Linked DNA regions of Schizosaccharomyces pombe. The gene in region 4 interacts genetically with the main gene of each other region. Each region holds a gene or a part of one and is shown on either strand. Other genes may lie near its edges.

Region 1 (2,526 bases), on a different chromosome or scaffold from region 4:
ATAGATACCGATTTCTAATGTATGCTAAGTTAAAAACTATGTAGATACCAAATTAAGTGTAATATTAAACAAAGAAAAGTAGGGATCTTCCAAATAAAACCGGATCGAAAATCAATTAAACAGAATAAATAAAGCGTGATAATTGTTTTCTTCAAATACCAGAGTTCCTTCGATTACTAGTAGAACGTCTGCGGCGCTCTCTCAAAGATGCATTTAAATCTTTGTATGCCTGTTTGTACATTAAATACATTTTTTTCGATAATTCGCCAATATCCTTGTTACTTCTTCCTGAAATATAATAGTAGTTTTCATCCTGGTATGTAAAAGCGACACGACGATATGGACCAGAAACGTATTTATCCTTAGGGATTATAGTGGCAGCATAGGGATAAGTAGAGTTATCCGGTGTTGGGTTTAAAAAGGAATTTGAGCGCTCCATCCATGCAGGAATAGTGGTAGTCTTCATGTTGATGTTAGGCTCTGCCAAATAAATTGCAGCCGCACCCTGGCTAATGGCACCTAACACTTTGATCTTTCTGTTATCCTTAACCTCTTCATCCGGTTGAATTGTACGACATGAATGGATGTAAGGAACCAGGCTGGCATGTAAAAGTGGGTCTTCTAGCATCTCACGCACGAATGGATTTCTCCCTCCAGTTATGAAAACAGCACTAAAATTATCAAACGTAAAACCATTTGATCGATAGCATTTTGGATTGTTGAACTCATTCAGAGTACAGAGAACGCTATATATGTCTAAGATTTCCTTAGAAGCACCGAGTACATGACTCTTCCAGCCGGTCATATAAGAATCATTAGGTTTCGGGGGTCTTGGAGGAAATATGGATTCGGCGATTACGAATTCAACTACAAACCCGCGATCTGTAAAATACCTCCAAGGTAGACATACTTGCTCCAACATGAACCCCTTATCAGCTAAAACGATAGCTAAATGAGGCGACAATTTGGCATCCTTACCAAATACCGGAGCATTCACTGAAATGAGGTCGTGCTTGGGATGAATTGCAGCATTATAGTTGTCAAATGAGTTCATTTTTGAAACCTGAAAGGAAAATGCCATCGTGCTTAAAAACCAGTTAATCCTCCTTTTTTAAAAAACAATTTAAAATTAATAGCACTGTAGATTGTATATTAGTTATATGTCTTACACAAGAAACCTGGAAAAGTGGGTAAAGGGATGATTGACCCCCTTAATATATTACCTTATGTTTAGGTCAACCAAAATGACACGATTCTACAGGGTTTCGATTTTTTACAAAAATTTAGCGGTATTCAGAACGCCTTTCGCTTCTTCCAAAGCTTCGTTCAATGGGTAGTGGTTTGACTTGCTGATCATATATAATTTATGTATTTGATTATTTACAAATCACCTAATTGGTAGAAATACTTTTTTAACAATTTGTACAAAAGCATAGATCTTTTTGTTGCTTATAACTGTAGAATACAATGTAATAGGTTTTCATCAATTATGCTGGCCTGATCAAATATATGAAATTAATCGAATCTGTAAAAGGACTTAGTTTTACAAACTAACTTAGCATTCAGGACATTTCATCAATTCACCAACATTAATTTACATGGGCAAGGAAACTGTTGCTTTTTCTGTACTTTTAATTCCTACTTTAACCCTCTATGAACTAGTATGCGGCTCAAAGTCTCCTGCACCGAATTTCCAATTCAACAATGGGTTGAGACTTCTAGTCTTGAATTAGTTGACTCTGTTAATTGTGTGGCAGATTTATGCCATGCCATATGGATGTTTAATGGAGGATGTGCGGATTGGAGGCTTCAAATACTTAAAGAAGGATTTACAGTTCCGATGACGGGAATTATCTCACAATATCTTAAAACTGACGACCACATTAAAATTGTGAAGGAAATTTATCCTCCGAATTTACCTGTTCTTCCGTTCAGAGTGTATACAACGCAGAATACCTCCGTTGAATCTGAGCTAGTTGAATGGGAAGATGTAGAAATGGAGGCTTAGTGCTTTGCTTGCTATTCTCTGATTTATTTGATTAAAAAATTATATTATAAAGCTATCTGCAATGGTAAATCACATGAACAACGAATTGAAGTTTGCAATTTAACGATCGCTTATCTGTCCCTTGAACCTACGACAATTTCTAAGAAGTTTAGGATGACATTGCACTGTTTTCATCATTATAAACTTAATGGACCAGCAGTATTATGCTTAACGTTTGCACTGCCGCTGCTTTGACACTAAACTTTTATGCTAAGATATATAACACCTATGAAAAGTTCAGTCTATGAAAGAATATAGAATATATATTATAAATTCTGTATACAACAACAAAGCTTGAAAATTTTACTTTTTACTTACACAAGCGACAATAAACTTCCACGAGAGGAGGTTAAACTTGGAAATTAGATGTATTCTTTTCTACGAAATTTATCCATACGCGCTAAGCAATCACTACTCCAAAGCAAGTATACAATGAAGTACTTATCGATGATACAATTGTAGTCAGACAACTTAAATTA
Region 2 (4,519 bases), 890 kb from region 4:
ATTTTGCATTTTTCCTTTGTTACCGTCGATGCTATTCCTGAGTCTCCTCACCTTGTTAGTAATAGAAAGGGCCCTGAAGGTGTAGTTGAGCGTCTTTACAATCGTATCCCTTGGTTTTTAACGCGCCAAGTACTTCGGGTTGGAAATGCTGGTCTCTTGATGTCTGGTCTTACTCGACTTTTTTTGATGAAACCGCTTTCCTGGTTTGGCGAAAGTCGCAATCTGCTACAAACAATGTTGGCCGGTATTTTTAATGCCGATCTCGAGCACAGTGAGAGCACTATGGTTGAGACAGATGCAGAATTTGAAGACGATGCAAAATGGGAGACGATGCGTAAAGCCTTGCAATGGTTCACTCAACTTTCGCGTACTGAACAAGATGATGTTCGTTCTCAAAGCATCAATAAGGAACTGAACATTACTATCGCAATTTTAGAGGCGTACGAAGCACAGCAAACTGAAACTACCGAGACTGAAGGAGTTGATAAGGAAGACTCCGATAAGGCCTCGTCTGTCCAAGGCAATGAAGATGAAGTACCCGACACTGCATCTGAAACCGAGCATTCCGAGATTGAAGACTTTCATTTCGATCCTTATTCCGAGAAAGGTGTCCATATTGCCATGAGATATTTTGATGCCGCTTTAACACATCGTGATCGCGAATGTTTAATCCACGATCTATGTGACAACGATCAACTGAATGATGTTGTAAGAGAATTTATGAATGCGTTTTATAATATCATTTACGAAGCACATCAAGCTGCCGATTTTTCACAAGCTATTTATGACTTTCAGTATTTCTTATGGGATGTTATTCAGCTTTCAAAGGCCGGTGCTCCCTTAGTAAAGTTCATCAATCTTGTTGAACGTTATCAAAGCTGCTTTGTCCGTTTCATTCACCGACTTGTTGTGAATGCGCCCGATCTTTGTGGAGAGTGGTGCGACTGGTATCGCCATTGTTTAAAACAATTTAGTGTTGAGGTGAAGACTCCTGATGCGGTAGATGTTGCCCATAAAGCTTTAAATACCTTGGATGAAGAGACAAAACATCAAGTTTTGGAAGAAATTGGTGATTATGTGAAGGAACTTGATGAAGAAAGCAAGAAGGCTATTGAGAATAAAGATAGTACTAGTGAATGGCTTTTACATCTTTATAACTTCTTTGGGTCCGCAATTATTACACCCACTACAGCTCATGGAGTACCGCAGCCACAACTTCCAAATTGTGGAATGAAATTAAATAGAACTAAAGAGAAGCTGCTGACTCCTTTTCGAAATCTTTTAATGGAGCAACTCAACGAATTACAAGCGAAAAATCAAGAAACGCCTTCAGAAATGACTTCAACAGAATAATTTTATTACTAATTGAGGTCCAAAACATAATGACATAAAATCAAGTGAGGCTCGCACATTCCATCATTTCTTCTCACAACTACAAATGAAATGAAAATGCATTTCTTTTTTTTATTCTTTACTAATGATACATTCTTTACCATTATATTGCTTTTTTCATAGTGTAAAATTGTGAGCGTAAGAACAATGCTAAGATGGTGGTAACTAAATAAACGAAGCCACGTTCTGTATTCTTTTTCGTAAAAATCTTAAAGCTTCAATCGTTTCATTACTATTTATTTAATCCTTGTATTTAACTCAATGCTATGGTTGTTAAAAAATACGACTGCTATTTCGTAAACATTACAGTCAAATTACGGCATTTGAGTTCAGTAGCATGTTTTTGTTATTCGTGATAGTTTGGTAATTCTGAGGAAAGTTCATTTTAATTTTTTTTGCATTCGTTCCAAAGTTAAACCCTCTACATAACTGGAAGGGGGATGTTAATGGAAAATGAAAATGAAGCTAATACTCTTAGCTTACTTTGCAGTTTTAAGTAATATCTTATCGTCAGTGGAAGGTCGAGTAAGATATAGTAAGAGACCAAATCACAAACTTGGAACAGCCGAGTACGCAGAATGCATGTCAAATGCCCCGATAGTGTTTAATCGGTTTGATGCAAGTTATTATACACGAAACTTGTCAGTAGTCTTTAATATTCTTGGATATTCATCTGTGGACGCAAATGTTACGTTTGATATTATAGTTGAAGCTTATGGAGAGCAGAGGGCAAGATTTACTTTCGACCCTTGTGAAATAAATCTTAATACTGTGTGCCCAGTTGCAAGAGATACAGCTATAACCACACAGGGAATACTTCCAGTGAGCCCTCAAGATGTTCAGATGATCCCAAAAATTGCCTGGGGAATTCCTGATTTTGAAGGCTTAGTGCGTTTTCGCATGTATCGCTCAGAAGACATCGCAGCGTCATCCATCGATAATTCTACACCACTTGCGTGCATGATCGCGACACTTAATAATGGTCATACGTTTAAAAATAAAGTCGTAAAAGCTCTAAGTGGAACTGCTTTGGCATTGAGTATAGCAGGCGTCTTAGGCTTTTATGTAATTGGAATGGAGCATAGCACCTATCTGACACGTCAGGTTTTCATCAATTCCGTTCCTTCTTTGCAGCACATGGGAGAGCTACTTCAATGTATAGCTTTCACGGGAGCAATTGGAATTACACAGCCAAAAGTGCTAGTCGCATGGGCTAGTAATTTTGCATGGATTCTAGGATTTATTACCAATAAAGAGATAGAAAACAGCCTTGAGTCTTTTAGAAAGCATTCCAATGGAAACCTAAGTTCTCCAAAGATAGGTGGAGTCCATCGAAGAGATGCTGTTGCAACAAACCCTCAAAGCCCGATTCCTGGATTTTACCATGGGTTTCAAGGCCTAGCCACCGAAGTTGGAACGCTAACAACGAATTTATTTACACTCACTTTAATATGGTTTTTGATTTCTTTGGCCATAGCAGGAGGAATCGTTATAATATTCGTACTTATTATTAAGTTTCTTCGTCAGACACGTATAATCGCAAAATCTTCATGCGATTATATCACAAGGTATTGGTTTAGAGTACTTTTTAATGCTTGTATGAGATGGGTAAGTTAATTGAACAAAGGAATGAGTTGTTCATACATAGCTCTTAACGACTTTTTTGCTTTATACTTATACTAATCTGGTTGATATAGGTGTTGGTTTGTTGGCCTGTATTGGTAACTATGATAATTTACCAGTTTACACTTAGGGAAGCATATGGCCCTGTAATATTGGCGGCTTTGCTTCTGGCACTGCTTTTTGGGCTTTTCCTTTGGTTAACTATCAAAGTCATAAGAGTGATAACAACGTCAGGCTTGAGTAACGAGGACAATCCAGAAACATTGATAAGCGATCCAAAAATATACACATGGTGGGGATGGTTATATTTGGATTTAAAAGAACGGCGATGGCTCTATGTTTACGCCTGCTTTGCACATTATTTTAGTTTTGCATTGGTTTTAGCGTTAGTACAACAGTTTGCGAAGATTCAAACTATACTTCTATTTGTTATTGAAATCATCTCTTTTATATTGCTAGCAGTGTTTCGGCCTTTTGTTGGTTTCAAAAATTCCTTTTGCGTCTTTTTGGTTGCTCTCACCCGAGTGGTTTCCTTTGCTCTTCTCATACCGATAGCATTTGATTTAGCAATCATTCCGAAAGTGATCATTGCAATCATTCTTATCATTATACAAGGGCTGGTATTTTCATTTATGGCCCTGTGGAGCCTTTGGAACTTCATTACTATGCTAGGTACAGCATGGCCAGCCATTAGCTACACAGTCCCTTGGCTTAGAAGATTAATAGATGAATATCAAAGACAACTTCATATTGACTTTGAGAATCCTGCGGTTTCTGCAAGTGAAAAGCTATCCACCGAAGAGATTATCCCACAAGAATCAAATTTTGAAGAGCCCTCTACCACAAAGAAAGAAGGAAACGTAGACACAAAGGAAGATGGAAATGACGATGTCTTCAGCCTTGTTAACGCTTCTCCTATGCGACCAGCATCTACAATACCTTCACATTCATGTGACAACGGGATTAATGAAATGCAGCGTACTGTTTAAAGATTTTATCGTGGATGTTTCCAACTCAAACTATTGCATTAGAATGCCTTAAAGACTGAAAGTTGACAACACCAAGTACATATAGAAAAAGATATTTGCATTTGCATAAAAAAGATGATTGAACTTGATGCGATTAACCCTAATAATCTGAAAATCCTTGAAGTTATTAACGAAAAGTGTTTTGATCCTGAAATCATTATATTTCCAACCTCCTTTTACAAAGACACAATCTCAGTCGGGCCTTTAGCACAATATGCGTACTTTAACCAGGTCTGCGTAGGAGCTGTTAGATGCAAAAAAGAAACACATAATAAATCGCACAAAATCCAAATTTTATCTTTGGCAGTTTTGCCAGCCTATCGAAACCGTTCTATTGGTACCAAGCTGTTGGAATATGCTTGCGAGACTGCAGCTGAGGGAAAAGCCAAAGAAATTTACATTAAATTAAGCCCTAAACTCGATGTATCCGAATGGTTTATTCATCGGGGATTCATTATTGATGAGAGCTCCAAAAC
Region 3 (4,158 bases), on a different chromosome or scaffold from region 4:
GTTTGATGGGATAAATTAATTAATTAAGTAGAATGAATGGAAATAGAATGTTTAGCGGAAGTTTCTTTAATCGCCATAAAATTTACACAAATCATTCATTTGTTCCATACCAAATGTCACTATAAGTTGACCGATACAAACCATGACTAGATGAATTGGCGGAAAAGCAGGTTTCAAATAGAAGAAAGAAAAAATGTGAAATTAAATTTTCCTCTTTTGTATAACCCTCTTTATTAATGACCTGATATTTCGTTTGAAGTGGAATATGAGTTTCTTCTCCTTCTTAAATTTTCGTCATGTATTGTACGAAACATATCGTTTGGACATTTTAAATCAGTTAACCATACTGAATGAAAGAATAACCGAAGTTGTATTTAATCATTACAACATATCCATTCTTTTATTACCTTTTATTTTTATTTTGAGCTCTATTAATCCTTGCTATATTATGTACATAATCGTTAGTATGTTACAGAAAGGATGGGTGTCCGAGTGGTTATGGAGCTGGCTTTAGGTGCGTTCAACGCATTGCACGCCAGTGCGAAAGCTCGCGGGTTCGAGTCCCGTCCCATTCAATATTTATTTTTTATATTATTATTTTAAATCGGTATATGAGTTTATTTCTTCAAGCTTGATGGAGGAAAAAAAACCCTGTTAATGGCTGCTGTTTATCTTTAAAAAGTTCTTTAAACAAAGTAAGCTTAGAGTGTTATTGATACTGGCAAACGCAGTCTTCATGAAAGAAATAGAATGCTCCTTCTTTTAACGGAAACGCAAATTGATACATACTCCTTTGCAATATTTACCCTGGTTTTTACTCTTTTTTTTATGTTTTAAATTCTACAAAAAATCTGGCTTTTCCTCGTATTGCAATTCATACATATTTATGGTATTACGAATACATCGTTGCGGGATCCCAATTCTTTTAAGAGACAATGCTAATGCCAGATTCAATGGTTTTATTTATTTTCATGAATGGAAAAAATGATTTTTTCCTTTTCAAATTTTTTTGCATTACTATAAAACCAATTTTTCTTGCTTAATCATTTTCTTGAGCAACAATGACAATATTTTGTTTTTGCACTCTTCTCTGGTGAATAAAGACAATATACGTTTTTCGGAAGGAATACTTCTGGTTAAAAGCGTTTTTCTCTGTGATAAGGTTATAAATATTACTTACAATATTGCATAATATTATCTATTATCGTTCGTCAAACCAATTCCCCACACATTGTCAATTTACAATTCTTCTTTTCTTTTACTAAATACTTATGCCCAACCGGAAGTTAAAGGCATAACATAAGTGTAGTGTTTCACTAAAGCTTTTTAATCATTTGACGATCTCAAAATCTTGCATTTGCGTGCTCGTTTTGCAGACGTCGCAATTTTCATTTAGAAATTTTTGATTAAAAAAAATAGGCGACTACGAATTCTTTTTTAAAACTCCCATGACTTTTGATGGAAGCAATGATTGTCATATTACGAAGGTTTGGCTGGCTACTATTTGCTGCTTGTGACTTGGTACTTGATCTTCTTATCTTGGCGATTCTGCACTTACCCTATATACTGGGAACCAATATTTATTATGAAACCTGCCCATACATTTTCATTAATTTTCTCTCTTTTATTTGTTATCAATCCTTGCTATTCAGCAACTTTGCCCTTGGCAATTCGTCGGGAATTGACATGGGGTCAAGTCAATATTTTACACACTACTGACATCCATGGCTGGTTAGCAGGACATGCGCGAGATAAACGTTATTCAGGAGATTTAGGAGATTTCGCTTCTTTTGTTCAACATATGAAGCACTTGGCAAAACAAAAAGACGTTGATTTACTGCTAGTAGATACCGGCGATCTTCATGATGGTACGGGCCTGTCAGATCTGACAGATCCCCCTGGTAGTTGGACAGATTCATTACTTGCAAATATGGATTATGATATTCTTGTTGCTGGAAATCATGAGCTTTATCTCTCAACTGTTGCAAATGATACTTATCATAATTTCATTCCTCTGTGGGAAGGCCGATATTTAGCTGCAAACATTGACATATATGATGAACATGTTTCTTCTTTTGTACCCTTTGGAGATCGATATGCCATCTTTTCTACACCCCACAATGTTAAAATCCTTGCGTTTGGATTTGTAAACTCATTTTCTGGTGCTACTGATACGGTTCGTGTCCTCCCAGTTTCGCAATTCTCGCTACAGCCATGGTGGAACGATATGGTATCAAATAAAGACATCGATCTGATTCTGATTCCCGCTCATGTACCCGTTCACAATGCCTCAGAGCTTGATATCGTTCTTTCAGAGCTTCGGATTCACTTCCCTACCACTCCAATACAAGTACTTGGTGGTCATTCCCATATTAGAGATTATGCCATTTACGATGAAAAAGCAGTGGGAATTGAGTCAGGAAGATATTGCGAAACAGTTGGTTGGGTCTCAATTAACGGCATTCCATCCTTCAAATCGTTGGTCAAGTTATCTGGGATTTCTTCTTTAATGGGGGTGGAATCTTATCTAGCTGAGCGCTTGAGATTTATAGGCGAAAGTATTAGACGGTCATCTCAGCAGATATTTTCCTCTTTGCAAAGTGCTAAATCTGCCAGTGTCAGCTTCTCTCGTTCCTATATTGATTGGAATCCCGAGGGCTTTATGTTTCATTCGAAAACAAAAAAGTCTTCTTTCAATACCTCACTTGGAGAATTTATTTCTAATGGCATTTACGAAGCTCGGAAGGCACTTGGCTTACTTACTCCTATAGGTTGTTCCCCAAAAAAGTTTGCATTTTCAGAAGTTCCATTTAACGATTCAAACTCAATTTATCATCTATTTCAATCCGAACTTTTTCCAAAAATAGTCGTCAATGAGTCTCGACATCACATTCCTCACTATATTATTGTAAATTCGGGTGGCATTCGAGGTGGTCTAAATTCAGGTGCCTTTGGCTTAGACGAGGTCTTTCAAGTCTGTCCTTTTAAAAGTAATATATTCTATGTTTTGAAAGATGTCCCATGGTCGATTACTAAGTACCTGCCACAAGCTCTACAACACAGTGGATATCTGATTGCTGAAGATACTCTTCAAATTAACACTCCACAAGTTTCTGATGCAAAATTTGAGGACTTTTATGAACACTCCATTCGCAAGACATATGGATACACTACACACGATGATTTAGGAGATGACGGAGATGACACTGCTCATCTTACAACTCCTCATTATGAACCGCTGCGGTTTATTTGCTCGCAAGTTGGATTTGATGATTCTTTTTCTGGAGACGATAAGCAAGTTGTTGACGTTGTTGCTCCATCATTTGTTATTCCACGCTTAGACGACATTTTAAATAAAATTGCAGATAAGCCTTTATATTCACCTGACGATTGGGAGCTTTACTTTACGAGACCTGACGGAAAGCATTCTATGACTGATTTGTTACCATTATATGCAGATCTCTATTGGGACCACGATTGCCTATATAAGTAAAAGGCTATGGTTTATTTCCTTTAGTAAGGATTATTCTAATGACATTAATGATTTTAAAGATAACAAATAAGTCAAGAATTATTATTTATTCAACATGTGTAAAAATGACGAAGTAAATACCTGATAGAGAAGTAAAATAGGCATGATATTAAACTCGGGACATAAACCGTTAAAATAATAAAAAAAATCCTCTCATGAAAAATTAAAGTCCATAGACAACTCATAAATAAACCATTAGAATTTTGATGATTCTTGTGACAGAAAATATGATTTAATTCTTTCTTCAAAACCAAAAGGAACACAGTAAATTGGATGAGCCGGTAATAAAGAGCTTAAAGAGGAGTGTAAGATGGAAGGTTTATAGGACCAACCATCAGAAGTGTGATATCTGTAGTCATAAGCAATTGATGATAACCCTAATAGACAATAACAAGTATGATATTGATCAGGCCGTTTTGGTGGTTTGTCACGTAAACCGCCGCTTGTACTCTGGCAACATTGAAGAATATATCCTAATAATTTTTCTGGATTATAAAAAAGGTTAGGCAGGCTTTTATGAGAAGCCGAACCATAGCCTGAAGCCACAATCACATGGCTAGCACCGACCCACCAACTATAACAACCATCCACTAGCTTGTTAGAGCGACCGGAAAATCCGTAAAGAG
Region 4 (3,951 bases):
AATTGATTTACTTATTGATAGATTGGTTGGTTCATTTTTTTTCTTTCATCTTTTTCCAATCTATATGTATGTGTATATAAATATTTTTTATTTTATTATTTATTTTTTATTTATTTATTTTTTTCATTTCCCTCTATTTATTCACTCCGGATCACTTCCATCCTTATGTTATTTTAAAAAAAAATTTTTTTTTTCTTGTTCTATACTTCTGTTTATTTTCATGTCCTTTTCATTTCGTTCAATTAATTTCATTCCATTTCCTTTTCTAATATTTTTTTTCCTTTGCGATCGCTACCTTTTCCATACATATCTTGTTTTTTCCTCCATAGTATCCACCTTGTAAAACAAAATTCAATTAAATTGAAAAATTAATATTTTTAACAAATTTTTGAAAAGTTCGAAACTGCTGATTTACAATTTTCATCCATTCTTTGCTTTCCATTTTCTCCATTTCTCCTCTACTTGCGACACTTGGAAATCCATGTATAACCGAGTTTAAGGTTATTTAATAAGCGAATGTGTAGTTTTATTAATACAAAGATTGTTGCGCTCTTATAATCAACTATTTGCATAAAATTCATCTCTTTTATTTTTTAATTTATCATAATCTAAATAATGAAACCCCTCAACATGTCTGAGGACTCCTCCTGATTGCGAAAAAAACACCCATTCACCAATACACCAATTTAGAACCGGTTTTCTAATGTTTTTCTATTAATAATCAAATCATCCTCATAAAGTTCTTCCTTCAAGCTCACCATTTTTTATTTTTTCAAGTATTCATTCATTCCAAATTTTGCTTTTTCAATCCATCCAAACCTGTAAAGCCGAAACCGTTCCTGTCCAAAGATCCTTCTCTTTACTTTCATCCTCTTCTTCACTTTCATCCTTCTCATACTTGTAAATTCTATTTCCATAACATACACACTTTATCTGCATGTTTATAGGGTTCGCTTGTACTGTGTTTACCGTCAAATCGTAATTTCCCGTCACATGCGTTTCTTCCACAAGATCCTTGTTTCTCCATCTACGAATACTTCCATCCGTCCCACCTGCCAAAATTTCATCCTTTTTATCAGTGTCGAAAAGAATCCTTTGGTTCGTATCGCCACGATGCCCTTCAAGAGCATATACCATGTCGCGCACATACCGTATATCCCAAACTTCAATCTTATCACTGCATCTGCTTCCAACATATAACTTTTCTCCATCCTCACACCATTGTAGATGTGTCACTCCGTTTCCTCTTTCAATCGAAAACTCTAGCTGACAAGGGCGACGTCCGCAATCATTATAAATCCCAACTCGATTTGAATACGTTCCCACTGCCAATGTTTTCGAATCCATCGGATTCAAGGAAAAGCATGACTGTATACCCTTAAGACTAAATTCCCAAAGAGGGACTTTATATCCATGGGTTACCGTTGTCATGACAGGTTCTTTACATCCCGTTCTTATATTAAAATGATGGAGACAGTTTTTATCACCCGCAATCAAATACTCCCCATCGTTGGTAAACTGTAAACAATGCGATCCTTGATATCTCTCTTGGTGATCTATCATGTGATATGAAGCCTTGTTCTTTCCTGTAGTAAAATTGATCAACTTGATAGGTTGATCCCTACTAGACACTGCAAAAAGGTTACTGGAAGGATCGTCAAGTTTCATTCTCGAATACCAACTGTAACTGTAAACTGTTTCCGGTGATTGATATTTATACGACAGATGTTTTGAAAAGTTCAATGGTCCATCAGCCTTTTTGGATAAATCGGAAAACGGCACATTCCAACAGTTAAGACATTGATCCTCTGTTAACGAAAGTATAGTCGATCCATCCGGCGACCATCTTGACGAATGAAAAAAATTCAATGGCTTTGTTGGACTTTGAGCAATCACATTTGTTCCTAAATTAATACTTCCGCATACATAGCCGAAATTTTGACTTTTCTTCTTATGCACCAAGTCATCCTTCTGATCCTCAAAGGAGTTTACACAATTATCCATTCCTTCCTCAAGTTAACCTACTTTATTAACCATGTATGGATTATGGCTCTTCACAATGTCAACTTTAATTTTTTAAATATATAATATATATATGGATTTCTTTCTATCTGGTCATAAGGGTTGAAAACGAATAGTCCTTCTTTAAAAAACGAATTGTAATCATATGTAGTAGTTGTAATCTCAGTATGCTCGAATTACTCCAAGACATTTCCACGAGTCCTAAAACAGAAAGAATGTATTCTTTGTTTCTCAATCATAAAAAAAAAAGAAAATTAAAAGTTACGACTCAGGTTACTATATAAATAAAAATAGAGACAGGTTGCGATATACTTGTCTAACTAAAAAAACAATTGAGTACAATATCGTCAACATTTTTATTACTTTACGCCCATTGAAACTATAAATATATGAACGAAATTAAGCAAATAAGCCTTCATCGTTTTTTTGTATTGATAAATCAAAAAATATATTAATGAATTAACGAAAATAACCTATGCCAAAATCTTAATTTTTTTTTATCAATGAGTGCAGACGCGTACAAAAACTGCTCAACAGTTCATAAACTTTAGAGTGTGTCACTCTTTTTTTTCTTCAGCTATTTACTACAAAAGTTGGCTTACGCAGCGGCTTCCGAAATTGTAGCAGTTTCTGAAATGGTTGCAGAAATTGGTTTAGATGTTTGTGTCTTTTTCTTCCTGTGAAATCTTGTATCCTCTGGACTGAATCCACCGTTCCCAAACATGGCAAAATCGGGCGTGGATGCCATATAATCGAATGGACCAAAGTCTTTCTTTGTCCGTATTAATTCGAAAAACTTTGGATAATCAATGTGAGTATGCCAATGGCCATCTTTTTTGAACGCAGTTTGAGCAACTAAAATACTGCAGCTGTGTGCATGTTCTGCAGCAATTTCATAGCGGACGCCAAGGTCTTGTAAATGAATATCAATATACTCAATCAATTTTTTAACAAAGTCAATTACCTCTTCATAATAAGGCACATTCTTCATAGTCAACGGTGATTGATCCGAATTACCACTATAAGTAACCCCCTTAACTTCGATGAAACAAGGCACACCAAGACGAATCAGTTCAGTATACTCTTTAATTTGCTCCATGTTGAATCCCTTCACCAAGGTCATTCGGTAAACAGTACGCTGCCGCTTTTCACGTAAAATCTCCAAACACGTTAGCATTCGCTCCCAAAAATCCTTGAATAATGGTCGGTCTACTGATTTGAGACTCTGCTTAGTACTGGCATCAACAGAAACGTAGAGTTGAGTGACCATACCCATATTTCTTAATGCTTCAGGATGCTGGGCATTTGTTACTAAGAACGATGAAATCTCTCTTTCATGAAGCATGGACACAAATTCGTTTATGTATGGATAAAATATAGGCTCTCCAACCAAGGACAAAGCACAGTGACGAACACGAGACGCTTCTTCATATCTGTCGGGTAGAACACCAGGTACACCTTTCATTAATTTTAACTTGGCATAATGAGCCTTCAATATACCCTGAAGTATCATTTCTGGAGGATCAACCTTCCAGCGCCAAGAGGTTCCTACGGGATTCGTACCATGTCTCCAACAAAAAGTACATTTATTAGCACAGGCTAAACTTGGGGTAGCTTCCATACATAGATGACTTCGAATTCCATAGAAACTATACTTATAGCAAAAGCCTCGGCCACGCATAGCAGACTTTGTCCATCTGCAAATCTTTACACCACTATGTGAGCCAACTACGCTGTATCCCTGCTTTGTAAGGGCTTTATACGTAGGAGACTCTGTCGAAACCATCTCTTTAGTACCCACTGGCAAGGCTGCTTCTGCCTTTGCCTTGGCCATCATGGAACCCATATCCTCAACATCCATAACATCCGAACTAAGTGAATCCGTGTTTCCGATTTTCAAAAGCGTACCGTTTTTCAAGCATTCTGCTA

The links.
Region 1: mutations in gnr1 (region 4) and SPOM_SPAC18G6.13 together harm fitness more than expected from each alone (negative genetic interaction), as found in Schizosaccharomyces pombe (one large-scale study listed by BioGRID).
Region 2: mutations in gnr1 (region 4) and trp663 together harm fitness more than expected from each alone (negative genetic interaction), as found in Schizosaccharomyces pombe (one large-scale study listed by BioGRID).
Region 3: mutations in gnr1 (region 4) and SPOM_SPAC17G6.03 together harm fitness more than expected from each alone (negative genetic interaction), as found in Schizosaccharomyces pombe (one large-scale study listed by BioGRID).

Annotation. Positions count from the first base shown.
Region 1 is NC_003424.3:2,239,350-2,241,875, forward strand, and holds SPOM_SPAC18G6.13 (uncharacterized protein), read left to right. Parts: upstream 1-1,645; 5' UTR 1,646-1,663; coding exon 1,664-2,008; downstream 2,009-2,526. Other genes in the region: SPOM_SPAC18G6.12C (uncharacterized protein), read right to left, coding at 152-1,081.
Region 2 is NC_003421.2:1,657,116-1,661,634, reverse strand, and holds trp663 (TRP-like ion channel protein), read left to right. Parts: upstream 1-1,851; coding exon 1,852-3,000; exon of another isoform or gene 3,001-3,089; coding exon 3,090-4,004; downstream 4,005-4,519. Other genes in the region: SPOM_SPCC663.15C (uncharacterized protein), read left to right, coding at 1-1,353; NatA N-acetyltransferase subunit Naa50, read left to right, coding at 4,119-4,519.
Region 3 is NC_003424.3:3,591,470-3,595,627, forward strand, and holds SPOM_SPAC17G6.03 (phosphoprotein phosphatase), read left to right. Parts: upstream 1-1,568; 5' UTR 1,569-1,585; coding exon 1,586-3,493; 3' UTR 3,494-3,598; downstream 3,599-4,158. Other genes in the region: protein farnesyltransferase beta subunit Cpp1, read right to left, coding at 3,728-4,158.
Region 4 is NC_003421.2:765,366-769,316, forward strand, and holds gnr1 (heterotrimeric G protein beta subunit Gnr1 ), read right to left. Parts: upstream 2,179-3,951; 5' UTR 2,005-2,178; coding exon 805-2,004; 3' UTR 571-804; downstream 1-570. Other genes in the region: wybutosine biosynthesis protein Tyw1, read right to left, coding at 2,621-3,951. UniProt on the Schizosaccharomyces pombe protein: Negatively regulates the pheromone-response pathway. Acts as a structural mimic of the G protein beta subunit thereby interacting with gpa1 which then inhibits gpa1 signaling.